Oryctolagus cuniculus: one gene and its partners. The protein of the gene in region 2 purifies or fractionates together with the protein of the main gene of each other region. This does not show direct contact. Links are inferred from orthologs where the notes say so. Each region holds a gene or a part of one and is shown on either strand. Other genes may lie near its edges.

What was found. The genes of interacting proteins can lie anywhere in the genome.
Region 1: the proteins of DHX8 (region 2) and NUDCD1 purify together in Homo sapiens (affinity purification with mass spectrometry; 3 studies listed by BioGRID and IntAct, counting the BioPlex papers as one, with this or other methods). This does not show direct contact. The link is inferred for Oryctolagus cuniculus from reciprocal best matches to the Homo sapiens genes DHX8 and NUDCD1.
Region 3: the proteins of DHX8 (region 2) and NKAP purify together in Homo sapiens (co-immunoprecipitation; 3 studies listed by BioGRID and IntAct, with this or other methods). This does not show direct contact. The link is inferred for Oryctolagus cuniculus from reciprocal best matches to the Homo sapiens genes DHX8 and NKAP.

The regions. Positions count from the first base shown.
Region 1 is NC_091437.1:134,682,008-134,686,655, forward strand, and holds part of NUDCD1 (nudC domain-containing protein 1), read right to left. Parts: intron 2,328-4,648; coding exon 2,147-2,327; intron 1-2,146.
Region 2 is NC_091448.1:19,585,878-19,591,295, forward strand, and holds the start of DHX8 (ATP-dependent RNA helicase DHX8), read right to left. Parts: upstream 3,499-5,418; 5' UTR 3,336-3,498; coding exon 3,188-3,335; intron 497-3,187; coding exon 411-496; coding exon of another isoform or gene 407-410; intron 1-406.
Region 3 is NC_091453.1:73,166,777-73,172,215, reverse strand, and holds the start of NKAP (NF-kappa-B-activating protein), read right to left. Parts: upstream 3,168-5,439; 5' UTR 2,544-3,167; coding exon 2,164-2,543; intron 1-2,163. UniProt on the Homo sapiens protein: Acts as a transcriptional repressor. Plays a role as a transcriptional corepressor of the Notch-mediated signaling required for T-cell development. Also involved in the TNF and IL-1 induced NF-kappa-B activation.

The DNA of each region.
Region 1 (4,648 bases), on a different chromosome or scaffold from region 2:
GGTCTAAGTCCTTAGGGCCCCTGCACCCACATAGGAGACGCAGATGGAGTTCCAGGCTTCTGGCTTCAGCCTGGGCCAGCCTCAGCCATTACAGCCATTTGGGTGGCGAACCAGTGGATCCAGCTGATGGGAAGATCTCTTGTTCTTTCTTTCTCTCTCTCTGTGCATCTCTTCTCTCCCTTTATCCAGTAACTCTGCCTTTCAAATAAATAAATCAAGAAAAACAAAAAGAAGAAAACAAGAAACTTTAATCCAAATGTATCTGTCCAGTCGAGGCATGCGAAGGAAGATAAAGGCAATAGATGATGGGGCTAGTTCATTGCTGCTGTTTTCCAAGAAGATCTGATGAACTGCATGATTGAGCTAATGCTGTTACAGAACGAAGTGCCTTGAAGAAGGGCAGGAGAAATATGCAGGATAATTTCTCTTAAAAGATGATTAATTACAAATCTTAATTTAAAAAAAGCAAAGTTTCTATCATTTAAAGTAGTAGTCTACACACTATGGCCCATGAGTCAAATCTAGGACTATTTTTATATGACCTAAAAGCTAACCTTGAATTTTATCTTTGTAATTGATTATTTAAATATATATGGAAACTATTAAAATTCAAATTTCAATGTTCAAACAAAAATATTATTAGAACACAACTATACTCATTCATTTATATACTACCCTATTTTTTTTTTTTGGACAGGCACAGTTAGAGAGAGAGACAGAGAGAAAGGTCTTCCTTCCGTTGGTTCACCCCCCAAGTAGCTGCTACAGCCAGCACGTTGTGGCTGGTGTGCTGTGCTGATCCGAAGCCAGGAGCCAGGAGCTTCCTCCCGGTCTCCCATGCGGGTGCAGGGCCCAAGGACCCGGGCCATCCTCCACTGCACTCCCGGGACACAGCAGAGAGCTGGAATGGAAGAGGAGCAACCGGGACAGAATCTGGCGCCCCGACCGGGACTAGAACCAGGGAAGCCAGCACCACAGGTGGAAGATTAGCCTACTGAGCCGCAGCGCCGGCCTATGTATTACCCTATTACATAGTACCTATTCATTTATGTATTACCTATGTACCATAGTGGCATAGTTGAACAGCTTGTGACATAGATCAGACCGTTCTTTACAGAAAAATTTCCAATACTTAATCTAATGTCTTAAGTTAATGTGTTCTTCCAGAGATGAAACTACAACCCTGAGAATAAGAACAAATAAATTACATTAAGTACTCCAAAGAATAAATCTAAGAGATTTATTCAACTTACTTATAAACTATTTTGAGATAATATCTATATAGATATTTGTTGTTGATTTTATAATAAAAGGGGAAGCCCTGTTGTAAAAAAATACTAATTGCCTTTATCAGATTATAATCTAGTAGCTATGGTAAAGGAAATATTTTCTATAGTAATAAATGATATTTTGTTAAATTAACTCATAAATAAGGAAGCTAATAAAAACTGGGAAAAACAGTCATCAAGGAAACCAAGTCCCTTAGTTATCTTAAAATAAAAAAGTCACTTGGCAAGGCAGTAAGTGCTAAGCAAAGGTGAAGAGCAAGTTAATAGTATTAAAGAAATTCAAATTAATACACAAGAAAGATTTTTAATGTCAAGTTTGAAGCCTGACAGCTTCAGAGACCAAGGTCTAGGACCTTTTAACACATGGAAGCACACCAGGTGAGAAAAGGTACATTCCATTCTCCTGAGGGTAGAAACAACAGGCAAAGTTCAGTGAAAATAAAGGTATTCATTTCCATGTGGAGACATTCATACCTACTTACATTTAAATTACACTGTAATGTATCATTAACTTACATTTACTTAAAAATTTATTAACATAGGAAGATAATGTATACATTATTTATATTAAAAAAGCACATGTTAAATTCTTTGAACTTTATTAATGTTTCCTTTTATACAGAAGGCTTACTTGCTGTGAAAATAAATAATTTTTTCCACAACCGTAACGAAAGAAAAACTGCCTACAGATACTCATTCTACCAGGAGTGGTAGGCACAAGAATCCAAACACAATGCCCAAGAAAAAGCTAACAGCATTTACAGAGAGAGCTCTGCATTTCAAAATCTATTAGATGAAGTGAACCATGGTGGGAGGCATACAGTGGAGAGGTGAGTGTTTCTAGAATTCTGTTTTACCTTTATTTTTGTTGCTGATAGTGACCCACTCCAAAGAAACATAAAAACCGCTTCCTTTCATATCCAAGTCCTCTTTCTCTATTCGAAGAAGTAGGATAGCTATTGAATGTTCTTCCATTTTTTGCAATGAGATACTGTGAATTATGATAAAAGGATTCCCAAGCTCTTCATTAAACATAATCTACAAAAAAAATTACAAATGATAATGTACATGTTACATAAACACAGATAACACAAAGCAAATATACAGAATTCTTACAATCTTACAATTACTTTGGAGGCTATTTACTACAAGGAATTAAAAAAAATTTAAGCCGGCGCCGTGGCTCAATAGGCTAATCCTCCACCTTGCGGCGCCGGCACACCGGGTTCTAGTCCCGGTTGGGGCGCCGGATTCTGTCCCGGTTGCCCCTCTTCCAGGCCAGCTCTCTGCTATGGCCAGGGAGTGCAGTGGAGGATGGCCCAGGTGCTTGGGCCCTGCACCCCATGGGAGACCAGGAAAAGCACCTGGCTCCTGGCTCCTGCCAGGATCAGCGCGGTGCGCCGGCTGCAGCGGCGGCCATTGGAGGGTGAACCAGCGGCAAAGGAAGACCTTTCTCTCTCTGACTCTCTCTCTCACTGTCCACTCTGCCTGTCAAAAAAAAAAAAAAAAAAAAAAAAAAAAAAAAAAAAAAAAAAAAAAAAAAAAAAAAATTTAAGGGGTTGGCACGGTGGCGTAGCAGGTTAAACTGTCGAGTGCAGAGCTGACATCCCATATAGGTGGCAGTTCGAGTCCTGGCTGCTCCACTTCCAATCCAGCTCTCTCCTAATGGCCTAGGAAAGCAGCAGATGATGGCTCTTGGACCCTGCACCAGCGTGGGAGACGTGGATGAAGATTCTGGCTCTTCGCTTTGGCCTGGCCCAGCCCTGGCCATTATGGCCATTTGGGGAGTGAATCAGTGGATGGAAGATCTCTCTCTCTCTCTCTCTTTCTCACTCTGCCTCTTCCTCTCTGTAACTCTGCCTTTCAAATAAATAAATCTTTTTAAAAAATTTAAAAAACCTTTTATATAGGCTGTACGTTTAAATAATGTTCTTTGAAGAAAGAACTCAGAAAAACATTCATTTGTGTAACAGAGAAAACTGATCATTAATGTTGGCTTCAAAATAAAAACAAGGGGGCATCACAACAGCATGTGAAGTAGAAAGAGACGTGCAAGCAATCTCCTCAAAAAGAATTATCAAGGGAAAAGAGTGCTCCACACAACAAAGGCTGCATGTGCCCGTCAACATTCCCCTGTTCCGTGTAAGACCCCTTCCTCTCAACTTCCGGACAGTGTGAGTATAAGTGTATATGCAGGTATGCTTTTTTACTGTTACTATTTCTTTTCCTGTTTATTTTCTGGAAGTTTACAAAGACAAGAAAGTGAAAAGCTTTGGATGAAAAATCAGTAAACTTTATTTCCCCAAACCAAGATTCTGTGTATATTTTAAAAAAGATAACACAGTAGGTTTCATGTAAAATATAAGCCTGGGCATGTACTGCGGCACAGCAGGTTAAGTCACTGCTTGGGCTGCCACATCCCATATTGGAATGCCAGTTCAGATCCAAAGTCCTAGAAATGCTGCCTTTTTTTTAAGATTTATTTATTTGAAAGGCAGAATTACAGAGAAAGGTAGAGACAGACAGAGAGGTCTTCCATCCGCTGGTTCACTCCCCAGATGGCTGCAACGGCCGGAGCTGTGCTGATCAGAAGCCAAGAGCTTCCTCTGGGTCTCCCACATGGGTGCAGGGGCCCAAGGACTTGGGCCATCTTCTACTGCTATTCCAGGCCATACCAGAGAGCTGAGGCTAGAACCAGCGCTCATATGGGATGCCAGCACTTCAGGCCAGGGCTTTAACCCGCTGCACACAGCGCCAGCCCCGAAATGCTGACATTTTTAAAAAGGCTAATCCACACATGAAATAAATACACACAAAATCCTTTCTAATTCTTTTTTATACCACAAACATGTTATCTAAAAACTATTACATTTGTATTGAAGGAAATATTAAATAAAGCTATAAGACAAATTCCTAAACAAGAATTCCAAATAAATGAAAAAAATGAATAATTGAACACCACTGAAAAAACTTAGGTCTTTAAAAAAAAAAAAACAACTTTTATCTGGTTGGTGGCATTGTGGCACAGCAAGTTAAGCCACCACCTACAATACCAGCATCCCATATAAATGGAGAGACATCAGCAAGAAGGGAAAACCAAGTTTGGGTAGGTATCAGAATATTGTTTGAATTTTTTTTCCTCATGTGAGTAAAAGGGTGTCAGTGAATGAGAGGAACAGATATTTGGACTTCGTGAAAAAAAAATTGTTAGGCTAAAATTTCCAGTCTTCTGAACAAACCCAGCATCTCAGCTGAGATACTTCTGATATACTGCACCCTCACCAAAGGAGGAGCAACACATTTAGAAGACAGGCAGTGCCCCCTGCTCTTTAATTTCTTTTTACATTTCCGTTAGCATC
Region 2 (5,418 bases):
TGTCAACCTGGTGCATCCCCAATCTGGCACAGTGCGCTTCAGGGAAAACTGGTATCGAGGACTCTTTCCGGGGTCAAGTTATTCAGTTCCCTCCAACCATGCTATCTCCCGTGGTTTAGAACTACCTCCAAAACCTTGACTCTTTTCCGACTTCCTGATTCACAGAACAGGAATGTAAACACACACACAGACTTAACGCTAGGAATCCCTCCGCAGTATCCCAGAAAGGTGCTGCAGGAAATCCTCACTTCGCCGCTGCCGAATGGCGTGAAAACATTACACATTTAATGGCTTATTTAAGTGTATGTGCATACTGTCTCCTTCCTGTACCCAAATCCTGTATTAAATCCTGCCAAAATTAAATTCAACAGTCACAGTAAAGTAAAATAGAAGTCTCCAAACATACATACTGTGAATTCTGCACCATTTTTGACCAAAGATGCCTTAAAAGTGTCAAAGGTGGTATTTTTCTCAGCAAGACTGATGACAAATTCAGCTGCAAATGAGAAAATGAATTATAATAAGAAATGGAGGCTTGAGCAAGCAATCAGTTTCAAGTATACCGAAAATAAAAATAATTATGCTACCCAACTGTCACAGAAACCAAAGACCAGCACTCAGGTAAGGGTAAAGAAACTGGTATTATCCACGTTGTGTTTCAGTGAACTTTTACAAATGAACTGAAAGTGTTACTACAAGATGGTTCAACCAGGCCGTGAGTTTATTTAAACTAGGCAAATCTATTTGCTGCAAATCACTGTATCTTTTTCTCTCAAAACTCCTAGCCAGGCGTATCGCCACGCAGACTCAAGGTGACAATGTACATAAGCATGAGCCCACGCGTGCGTGTGTGCGCACACACACGCACACACACACACAGTTGTATACAACAGAACAGTCTACAGTTTCGGGAAGGACAGATCCAGCCTACATGTGAGAATCCGGCAGCTGCTGGCTGTCACCATCTCCAAGTGCAGGAAGGAGCTGCCTGCCCTCACAATGTTTCTCCACAAACCTGCCTAGTTTTTGAGATGTCTAATATTACAGCTACTTATTAACTAAGAGAGTTTCAGAAAACACACACATTTTCTCACCAACTGAGATAATCAGCCTCACAAGAAATTTATTGAATTTATTTGGATTCTAATCAAAAAACAAAAAACAAAACAAAAAACAAAAAGGGAAAAAGGAACACAGGCGATCTAGATAACTGGCTGACCAACCAGTACTCCAGTACCACCTCCAGGCTGGAATTCGCTTCATCCTTTTGATGATGTTAAGTGGAAGCCACACACCATCAGGCCACACGGACACAGCTCATGCATAACAACAAATTAATAACAACCTCAATGGTTAATACTTCTTGAACATCGCCACAGGCTGAGTACTCCGCTACATGCTTCCCATGGGTTGTCCTCATGTTCCTAACAACAGCCCTCCTAAGTAGGGGCCACTATTGTTCAGATCTACATCAAAGGCTGAGAGTTGGAGACAACAACCTACCCACTAATAACTGGGGGACCCAAGCCCAGATCCCAGGCAGCTGACTGGAGGTCCCACTTGCTTTGGGGAAACGTAGAAAGAGAACTAAGTCACATGGTATTAGGCATGCTATACTCAAAAAAGCTCATCCCACAATAATCAGCAGCGTATCTACACTGCAAGCCATCATCAGTTTTTTCATCTTTAAACTGATTTTTATTTATTTGAAAGAGAAAGAGACAAAGATCTTCTATCTGCTGATTCACTGCCCAAATGCCCGCAACAGCCAGGGCTGGACTAGGCGAAAGCCAGGGGCCAGGAACTCAACCTGGGTCTTCCACATGGGTGGCAGGGACTCAAGGACTTCAGGCATCACCTGCTGCCCACAGGGTGCCCATTTGCAGGAAGTGGCGTGGGACTCGAACCCAGCACTTGAATATGAGATGTGGGCACCCAAGCAGGGTCTTCACTGTTGCACCAAATGACCACGTTGGTTTTTTTAATGTTCGGAATTAAATAAGGACATCGTTAAGTTAATGCACTATCAAACACAGATGCTAAAGGGCCAGCGTTGTGGCACAGTGGTTAAGCCTCTGCCTGTCACGCAGGCATCCCACATGAGCACTGGTTCCAGTCCAGGCTGCTCCATTTCCGATCCAGCTCCCTGCTAATGTGCCTGGGAGAGCAACAGAAGATGGCCCAAGTGCTTGGGCCCCTGCCAGCTATATGGAAGACCCAGGTGAAGCTCCTGGGTCCTGGCTACAGCCAGGCCCAGCCCCAGCAGTTGCAGCAATTTGGGGGAGTGAACCAATAGATGAAGGTGTCTCTCTCTCTGTCTCTGTCTCTGTCTCTCTCTGTCTCTCTCAGGCAAGAGAAATATGAACTAAAATATATGCTGGCAATATACTGGCTGCAGGGCACCTTCCTAAGTGCAATCTAGGAACCCTGCGAAAACCTCACCTCACATCAGAGAAGAAACCCACCTACCCTCCTCGACCCCTTCCTGTCGCACCCCCCCCCCCCCCCCCCGGTTCAGCCCTCTTAGCGACTCCCTCCTCTTCATTTAGAAAACAAATCCGACGGAGCTCTGGCTAGTCTCTAAACTCTTCCGCATGCACAACCATTATCTCTGCCCTATGTCCTCCTCCTATGACAGGGCGGGGAATGTCCCAGCACCTATCAAAAGCAAGCAACCTGTGCCTCCATCCCGTCCATCGCCTCCAGGGCCCAAGACTTTCCGAGGAGCTCAGCGCGAGTCTCCAGATGCTGTCTGCACCGGACAGCGAACGACTGGTGCTTGCGAGGCAGCGTAACACTAACGATCGCTGACTGCTATCTCACAGCGTGGCGCTGAGACCGAGGAAGGCACGGAATTAGAGAGCTGGGCAGAACAGGTGGCACAGTGGGAGCACCCAAAGACTGTCGGCAACCACCATCAAATACCACGGTGGCCGCCGCCGCTGCTGTTAAAGCTGTTCAATTATTCGCAGCTGAAAAACAAAACAAAACACCAAGCGGAGCGGCTGGCCCTGGGCTTCCCCGACAGCTCTAACAGATCGGCTCGGAGGGCTCCCAGACTCACTCCCCGGGCCGAGGGCCACGTGAATTGGGGAGAAGCGGACTCGCACCCCACTCGGCCCACACTCGGCTCCTTCCGCTCCCCGGAACCCCAAGCCCTGGGGCCCCAGGGACCTGCCCGGCTCACCGAGATCCTTGTCGTTGATCCCTAAGTGGTTGTCCAACTCGGTGCACACCTTCGACACTAAAGACAGATATTCGAGTTTGGCGAGCTCTTCCGCGGGGCCTGGCTCCGGCCCGGTCAGGACCCCGGCCGTGGCCACGGCCACAGCCATGGCTACAGCTTCCCTCCAGCCTCCTCCTTCCTTCCGGCCGGCCTCGCTCCCGCTTTCACTTCCGGGTCGGCGCACGTCCCTTTTGTTTACGTCGAAAAGTTTAGGAACTTCCCTAGCCGCCAACTGGATGGATCATAGAGATCAGGCCGGAAGTACTTTAAGAAGGGAGGGCAAGAACGGGTTCCGTAGCGCGGACCAGAGCCCTCTAGTGGTGAGAAAGATCTTCGCCCCCTCAGGCCCGGAAACGCCCACTCCCGGCGCGCTACCTCCCTACGTCAGCAGAGGGCGACCGCGCTCTACGCGCAGGGAGTCAATCTTCTCAAGAGAACCAAGCGCGCCTTGAATGCGAGTGTATTGTAACTATTGTAACTGTCCTTTTTTTTTTGACAGGCAGAGTGGACAGTGAGAGAGAGAGACAGAGAGAAAGGTCTTCCTTTGCCGTTGGTTCACCCTCCAATGGCCGCCGCGGCCAGCGCTGTGCGGCCGGCGTACTGCGCTGATCCGATGGCAGGAGCCGGGTACTTACCCTGGTCTCCCATGGGGTGCAGGGCCCAAGGACTTGGGCCATCCTCCACTGCACTCCCTGGCCACAGCAGAGAGCTGGCCTGGAAGAGGGGTAACCGGGACAGAATCCGGCGCCCCGACGGGGACTAGAACCCGGTGTGCCGGCGCCGCAAGGCGGAGGATTAGCCTAGTGAACCGCAGTGCCGGCCTGTAACTGTCCTTTGAGCGCTACGTGTATGTTTAATATAATAGCAGATAACGTTAATTGCTCGTTATGATTGGTTAGCTTTACCGCCACAAAAAAAAAAAATACTAAAACAGATAGCCTATACTGTCCCTACCCACACTTCCACCCGTGCTGGGTAAGAAATTATTTCCCATCACCATTCTAGTAGTAACCACGGTGTTGCTTTTATGCCTACTGCTAGATTGGTAGTGTGTGTTCAAACCAGTCGTCCATTCCCACAATATTTCCTTTTCTAAAAAAGACTATTTATTTGAAAGGCAGAGTTATAGAGAGGGCAGAGGCAGAGAGAGAGAGAGAGAGAGAGAGTCTTCCATCTGCTGTTTCACTCTCCAGATGGCTGCAACGGCCCGAGCTGCGCTGATCCAAAGCCAGGAGCCAGGAGCTTCTTCTGGGTCTCCCACGCAGGTGCAGGGGCCCAAGCACTTGGGCCATCTTCCACTGCTTTCCCAGGCCATAGCAGAGAGCTGGATCCGAAGTAGCTGGGTCTCAAACCAGCGCCCATATGGGATGCAGGAATAGCAGGCGTCAGCTTTACCCGCTTCTCCACAGCGTCGCCCCCGCAGTGTTTCTACTCTGGCCCAGAGTCTGTTCCCAGATGCCGGTGTTTGGGTAAGAACTGGGGGTTGGGAGGAGGTAGGCAGCAGGGAAGAGAGGACTGAACCTCTTTGCAACCCTAGATCAGGGGAGAGGATGGAAGTCATCTAAGGGCGTCCAAGGAGAGCTGGCGGGAAAAATCACCAGAACAAAGCAGTCTTGCTGCAACCGAGAGGGTCCTGGCCTTTCCCGCTAGGGTAAACCTGGGGTCTTAGGAGGGGCGCGTGGGCTCCTACAGGCGCAGTCAGAATAATTTGCTCCTAAGTGTGTGACTTTAGGAAACAGCTGCTGTCATTCATGCCAGGGGACTGCACTGGGCCTGGGAGCTGGTGAGAGTGGCCATGCCCCCTCACCCGAGGCCTCGCTGAGGATCAGGAGGGAGGAGAGCGGAAACCATCACAGAGGAACCAGGGGACTCATCTGAGGGCTTCGTGGCAAAGCCACAGCGCTGCTGCCCAAGCATGAGGGCAGCTGGGGGAGGGGCAGCCCAGGGCCAGGGACCCCGCAGGGCAGCCCAGCCTGCTCGAGCCATTACTTGTCTTCTAATGCCCTTATCTTCCAATGCCCAAGTGCAGCCTCAGTTTCGCACAAAATGTTCCTGACCTAGAATTCCTTCTCTTCTAGGCCATCAACCTGCCGCCAGTAATAGTGAATGCTTTAGGCTCCAGGTTTTCCAAGGCAAAAACGTCCCTCCTCAGCAGGCTTTTTCTTGTTAGAGTTCTCCTCTTTCGCTTAAAG
Region 3 (5,439 bases), on a different chromosome or scaffold from region 2:
TTATAACTCAATGGTTGAATTGTTCTTAAATATATAATCAAATCCAACAAGATCCCAGTTAAGTCTAATTTCTCTTTATTTTTAAATGTTGATAAAAACTTGGTTTAAATTCATCACTTGGGATTTTTGGTGTTCTGATAGTACTATCAAACGGTAGCAACTACAAATAGCTTGGGTGGCTGGGTCAGAAACGACAGCCTGGGAGACTGGAAGGTATTTCCCTTCTGCCTAATTCATGATATAACTATTCATTATTCATTTTATTGTCTGCAATTTGTGACAGAGTTTTACATTTGGAAATAACTTCATTTGTTCAGATGTTTATGAAAGTAAAGAGGAGTCTCTTGATTTGCTCAAATCTTCAGCTTTCAGAAGCCCAGGAATTGATAAAAGCAGAAAACAAAAGTTCTAAAAATGAAAAAAAGTCTTATTTGACAAAACTTGTACTCAGTGAGACACAGGGTTTGTTCTCTCTCTGTTTTCCCTTTAGTTTCTTTTTGGAAAAGTAGTACATTCTCTATTCTTTGGAGGACATTAAAATTTTCTTCTTTTGTTTTATAATGTGGTTTGTTTTAATTTTTGCTATTACTCTTAAAGTTAAAAAAAAAAGGCCCACTTCCTAAAAGTTTGGCTGTTTGTGATTTGATTTCTTTTTAAACATCCTTACAAAATAAATATAGCTGGTTTGTTTGAATAAATTATATTATTTCTTCAGGGGGAAATTATATCATCATTATGCAGAGTCAGACTCAGCATTTCCCACTTTAAGAAACATACAATCTAAAAGGGGACATACTTGGAATATTTACATATAGGGAGAAGAGTATCAGCCAAATTCTACAGTGCTTGGAGTCCTGTTCTCATACCTGCTGTCACCTGGCTTCATCTGTACTGTTAAGATAAATTACTTATCTCCTTAAATGTACAAATGCAAATTTCATTCAAGTAGTTCTGACATATTTTGGTGGAGATTTTCCACTAAGAAACCATTTGCTTTTTGATTGATAAAGCCTCTGGGTACTTTTCTGAAAAATTTAACTTGGAAGTAACCTAACTCAGGACTGTTTTCACTGTTTCTTCTTCCATGCATGCTGAACTAACATCTAACACTTGTGGAGTATTTATTATGTTCCAAACACTAAATTATTACAACCCTAAAATCCTTCATACTAATTTTATCTTTTTTTTAATAGTGAAGAAGTAAAACTCAGAGAGGTTAAGCAACTCGCTCAAGTTCACACTGTTGTTAAATACCAAATAAGCACATCAATTTCAGACAGTCTGATTCCTGGATGAAACTGCAGTTAGCAAAAGAATCACAAAGACACCTCTCAACTGCTGAAACTTTAACTTGCTCCTCAATGCCTGAAATACTTTTACATTTCTCATTTTCTGACACATACAGCATGTCTAGTCCTCAGCACAGTACTGGATACATAAATCTAACCTTTAATAAACATTAGAGACAAAGGCTTCCACAGCAATAATTATAAACCTTTTCCTTTCCCCTTAAACCATGCATTTTTCCACTCCATACTCACTCTTACTAGAAATTTGATCTCACCCCAATATCATTTTTCATGATCAAACAAGATCGAGACCACTCTGCAAGTCCTTTCTCAAGGTAGCCTCATCTACAGCCTAGCAGGTCACTTTTCCTACATTCATCGCCTTGTCTGAGGGGAAGATTTTCCTTCTCTCCAATTTAAACCCTTGATTTCAACCTTCCCAATTCCCCACAAAACATTACCACTTACGTGTTCTGTTAAATCAAGCCTATTTCTTCAATAAGCAATGGTTGCATGTTTGCAAAGTGCTAGGCACTGGGAATTCTATAATCAATAAAAGGGCTCTCAAATGATAATGGCACAACCAAGTAAATGCTATAAATCTGGTAGATGTGAGGCTCTTGACCGCGTTTGCTAACAACCCCGAAGAGGGAAGAGGGTAGCACGAAACCATGGCAATGTATAATGAATGAAAATGTAAGGGAATAAAAGGACGTATAAAAGGGTCGCCATGGGTGGACTGGATAACGGGGTGAAAACGGATACAAGGCAAGTATGAGCGAACACAAACGGCCACAAGAGGAATGAATGATAAATCGGACTCCAAAGGGAGGTGGGTTCGTAAAAGGAAAAGTGGGGGAGGGGGGTCACTCACTTCTGCCGCAGGCTTTCCTCCCTCTCCTTGTCCAGGAGGCTAGGCCACGGCTTGTCGCTCCCATAGGGGCGCGAGTAGCCGCCATAATAGGTGGACGAGGAGACAGAAGCGAAAGGTGTGCTCCGAGGCGCAGAGGGCCGCTCTCGAGAACGTGACCGCGAGCGGGAGCGGTAGGACTGGTTTCTTGAGCTGTGACTGAGGCCACCTACATGGTGACTGAGGCCATTCCGTTCCCCGGATCGAGAGCAAGAGTGCGAGCGAGAGCGGCGGCCCCGCGGGGACCGAGCAGATTTGCTGGGCTTGGGGCTCTTCGACGAACTGCGACGTTTTCCCCCGGAGCCCGAAGTTTCCGGGCTCCGTGAGCCGGATACCCGAGCCATTGCTGCTGCAGGATCCCAGAAGTCGCTGAAGAAGGGGGCGCTCTCACCAGTCTAGGAAGATCCCGGTTGCCTTGGCTTTCAGATCCCGCCACCTTACAACCACCCAAACCTGAGGGGAACCTTGGGAATCGTTTCGAGTACGTCGGTAAACCCCTTCCCCGGACGTAGGCGGTTCTGCAGACTTGAACGGACGTGTGTATCGGTATAAACAAGCCGGTAGGGCAACTGGGTCTACGCTCTCCTCTAGTTCCGAGTGGCTTCTCAAAGCTAAACTAACGGGGAGAGGAGATAAAGTCCTTTCTCAGCTTCGAACTTTGTGGTACCTGAAGAGAAGGATGGCGGAATATAAGATACATTTCACAGAGTGGTCGTATGAACAACACATCCAATTCTGTATGTGTTTCGTGTGCCTTCTGTGTATAATTATGCATTTATGTATGATTGAGAATATATATTGCATATAATTTGGTTTTTTTTCCTAATCCCAAGAAAAATTAGGAAAGTTTATCGCGATTGGGGTGAGCTATGATATCTAAGCTCCGTATTGCCCAGGTAGCATAGAAGGCACAAAGTCTGTGTTAACGTCTTGAGCCTGATACACTCCAAATAAGTTTGCAGCCCAGAGAAAAATTGCATACTTTTCTTACAGTAACTATCTCCACCCGTGTGCTTCAGCAAAAGGAATATGTAACCCTCTCTTTATCCAGCCCCTTAAACTAGTCATCTGCTAGCCTAGCAATATGTGGTTTATGATCAGTATTTCTGTTCATTTTCTACTGTTTTTAAATTTGGGAGGTAGAGACAGAAAGAGAGACAGAGTTCCTATCCACCAATTCACTCCTCAAATGCATGCAACAGCCAGGATTGGGCCAAGCTGAAACCAGGAACCAATACAGGTGTCACACGTGGGTGGCAGGGACCCAATTACTTGAGACATCACCTGTTGCCTCAAGGGTCTGCATTGGCTGGAAGCTGGAATTAGGAGCTGAAGTCAGGAATTCTGGCATTCTGATATGGGATGCTGGCTGCTGCTGCTGCTTTTAAAATATTTATTTACTTATTTGAAAGGTAGAGCAAGAGTGAGAGCGAATGTGAGAGAGATATGGAGGTCTTCTATCTGCTGGTTCACTTCTCAAATGGCCCCAGCCAGTCCTTTGGCAGCTTTTCCAGGCACATTTGCAGGGAGCTGGATTGAAAGAGGCACTGCGATATGGGATGCTGCTGTTGCAACCGGCAGCATAATTTGCTGTACCACACCAGCAGCCCAGGGTATGGGCTCCTTCCTTCCTTCCTCCCACCCTTCCTCTCTTTATTTCTTTTCCTGTTTCTTCTTCTGCTTTAAAGATTTATTTTTTTTTTCAAGGGCAGAGTGACAGAGAGAGAGAGAGAGAGAGAGAGAGAGAGAGAGAGAGAAGGAAGGGAGGGAGGAAGTAAGGAAAGGAAGGAAAGAAGGCAGGAAAAGGAAAGGAAAGGAAGGGAAGGGAAGGAAGGGAAAGAGAGAGAGAAAGAGAGAGAGAGAGAAAGAAAGAAAGAAAGAAAAAGAGAGAAAGAGAGAAAGAGAGAAAGAGAGAAAGAGAGAAAGAGAGAAAGAGAGAGAGAGAGAGAGAGAGAGAGAAAGAAAGAAAGAAAGAAAGAAAGAAAGAAAGAAAGAAAGAAAGAAAGAATCTTCCATATGCTGGTTCACTTCCCAGATGACTGCAGTGGCTGAGGCCTGTCCAGGCTGAAGGAGCCCAGAATTCCATCTGGGTCTTCCAAGTGGGTCACAGGGGCTTAAGTACTTGGGCCATTTTCCACTGTCTTCTCAGGTGCATTAGCAGGGAGACGTATCAGAAACGGAGCAGCTGGGTCTCCAACCAGCACTCCAATATGGGATGCTGGCGTCACAGAGGGTGGTTTAACCTGCTGTGCCACAACACCGGCCCCAAATCAAATGCCTACTCCTCAACAACTTTGGAAGTGGTAAGAAATTACTTACGGATGTATTGTTGTGGGGTGCACCGATTAAAACACAGCGAGACTTTTACAGAAGAGGCTGAAGTCTCATGGCCAAATTATGGAGTTTTTATTTTGAAAGCCAGTGGCTGCACAGGGGCATGTGTTTTCCAAATCATGCAGCCCGGATTGAGTTCAAGGGTAAGCTTATAAAGACAAAAACCACATCTGGTTGGGAGTTAATTACAAAGCCAAGTATTTGTTACAGAAGCTAGAACAAGCAAGGTTACACTTATTGTGGGGTGGGGGGCTGGGCACTGACGCATTTTCCCAGCACTTAATGTAACTGGTTAGAAAAAATAGAGGACAAATGGAGTGACTAGGGCCGGCGCTGCGGCTCACTAGGCTAATCCTCCGCCTGCGGTACTGGCACACTGGGTTCTAGTCCCGGTCGCTCCTCTTCCTGTCCAGCTCTCTGCTGTGGCCAGGGAGTGCAGTGGAGGATGGCCGGAGTGCTTGGGCCCTGCACCCGCATGGGAGACCAGGAGAAGCACCTGGCTCCTGGCTTCGGATTGGTGCAGCGTGCTGGCTGCAACGCTCCGGCCGTAGCGGCCACTTGGGGGGTGAACCAACAGAAAAAGGAAGACCTTTCTCTCTGTCTGTCTCTCTCTCTCATTGTCTAACTCTACCTGTCAAAAAAAAAAAAAAAAAAAAAAAGGAGTGATTAGAGATCATCCGGAGACAAAATAGACTTAGGTCAGGCATAGCTCAATATGAGGGTACTTAAAAAAGTTCATGAAAACTGGAACCAACAGATAAGTTCACCGTGGTACAATAAAAATTTGAAATCCATGCTGACAAGGGGTGTTAAAAAGTTCATGGAAAATTGTATTATGGAAAAATGCATGAGTCCCCAAATTTTTCTGTACTGAAACAAACCCATCTTTTTTTTTTTTTATTAAAG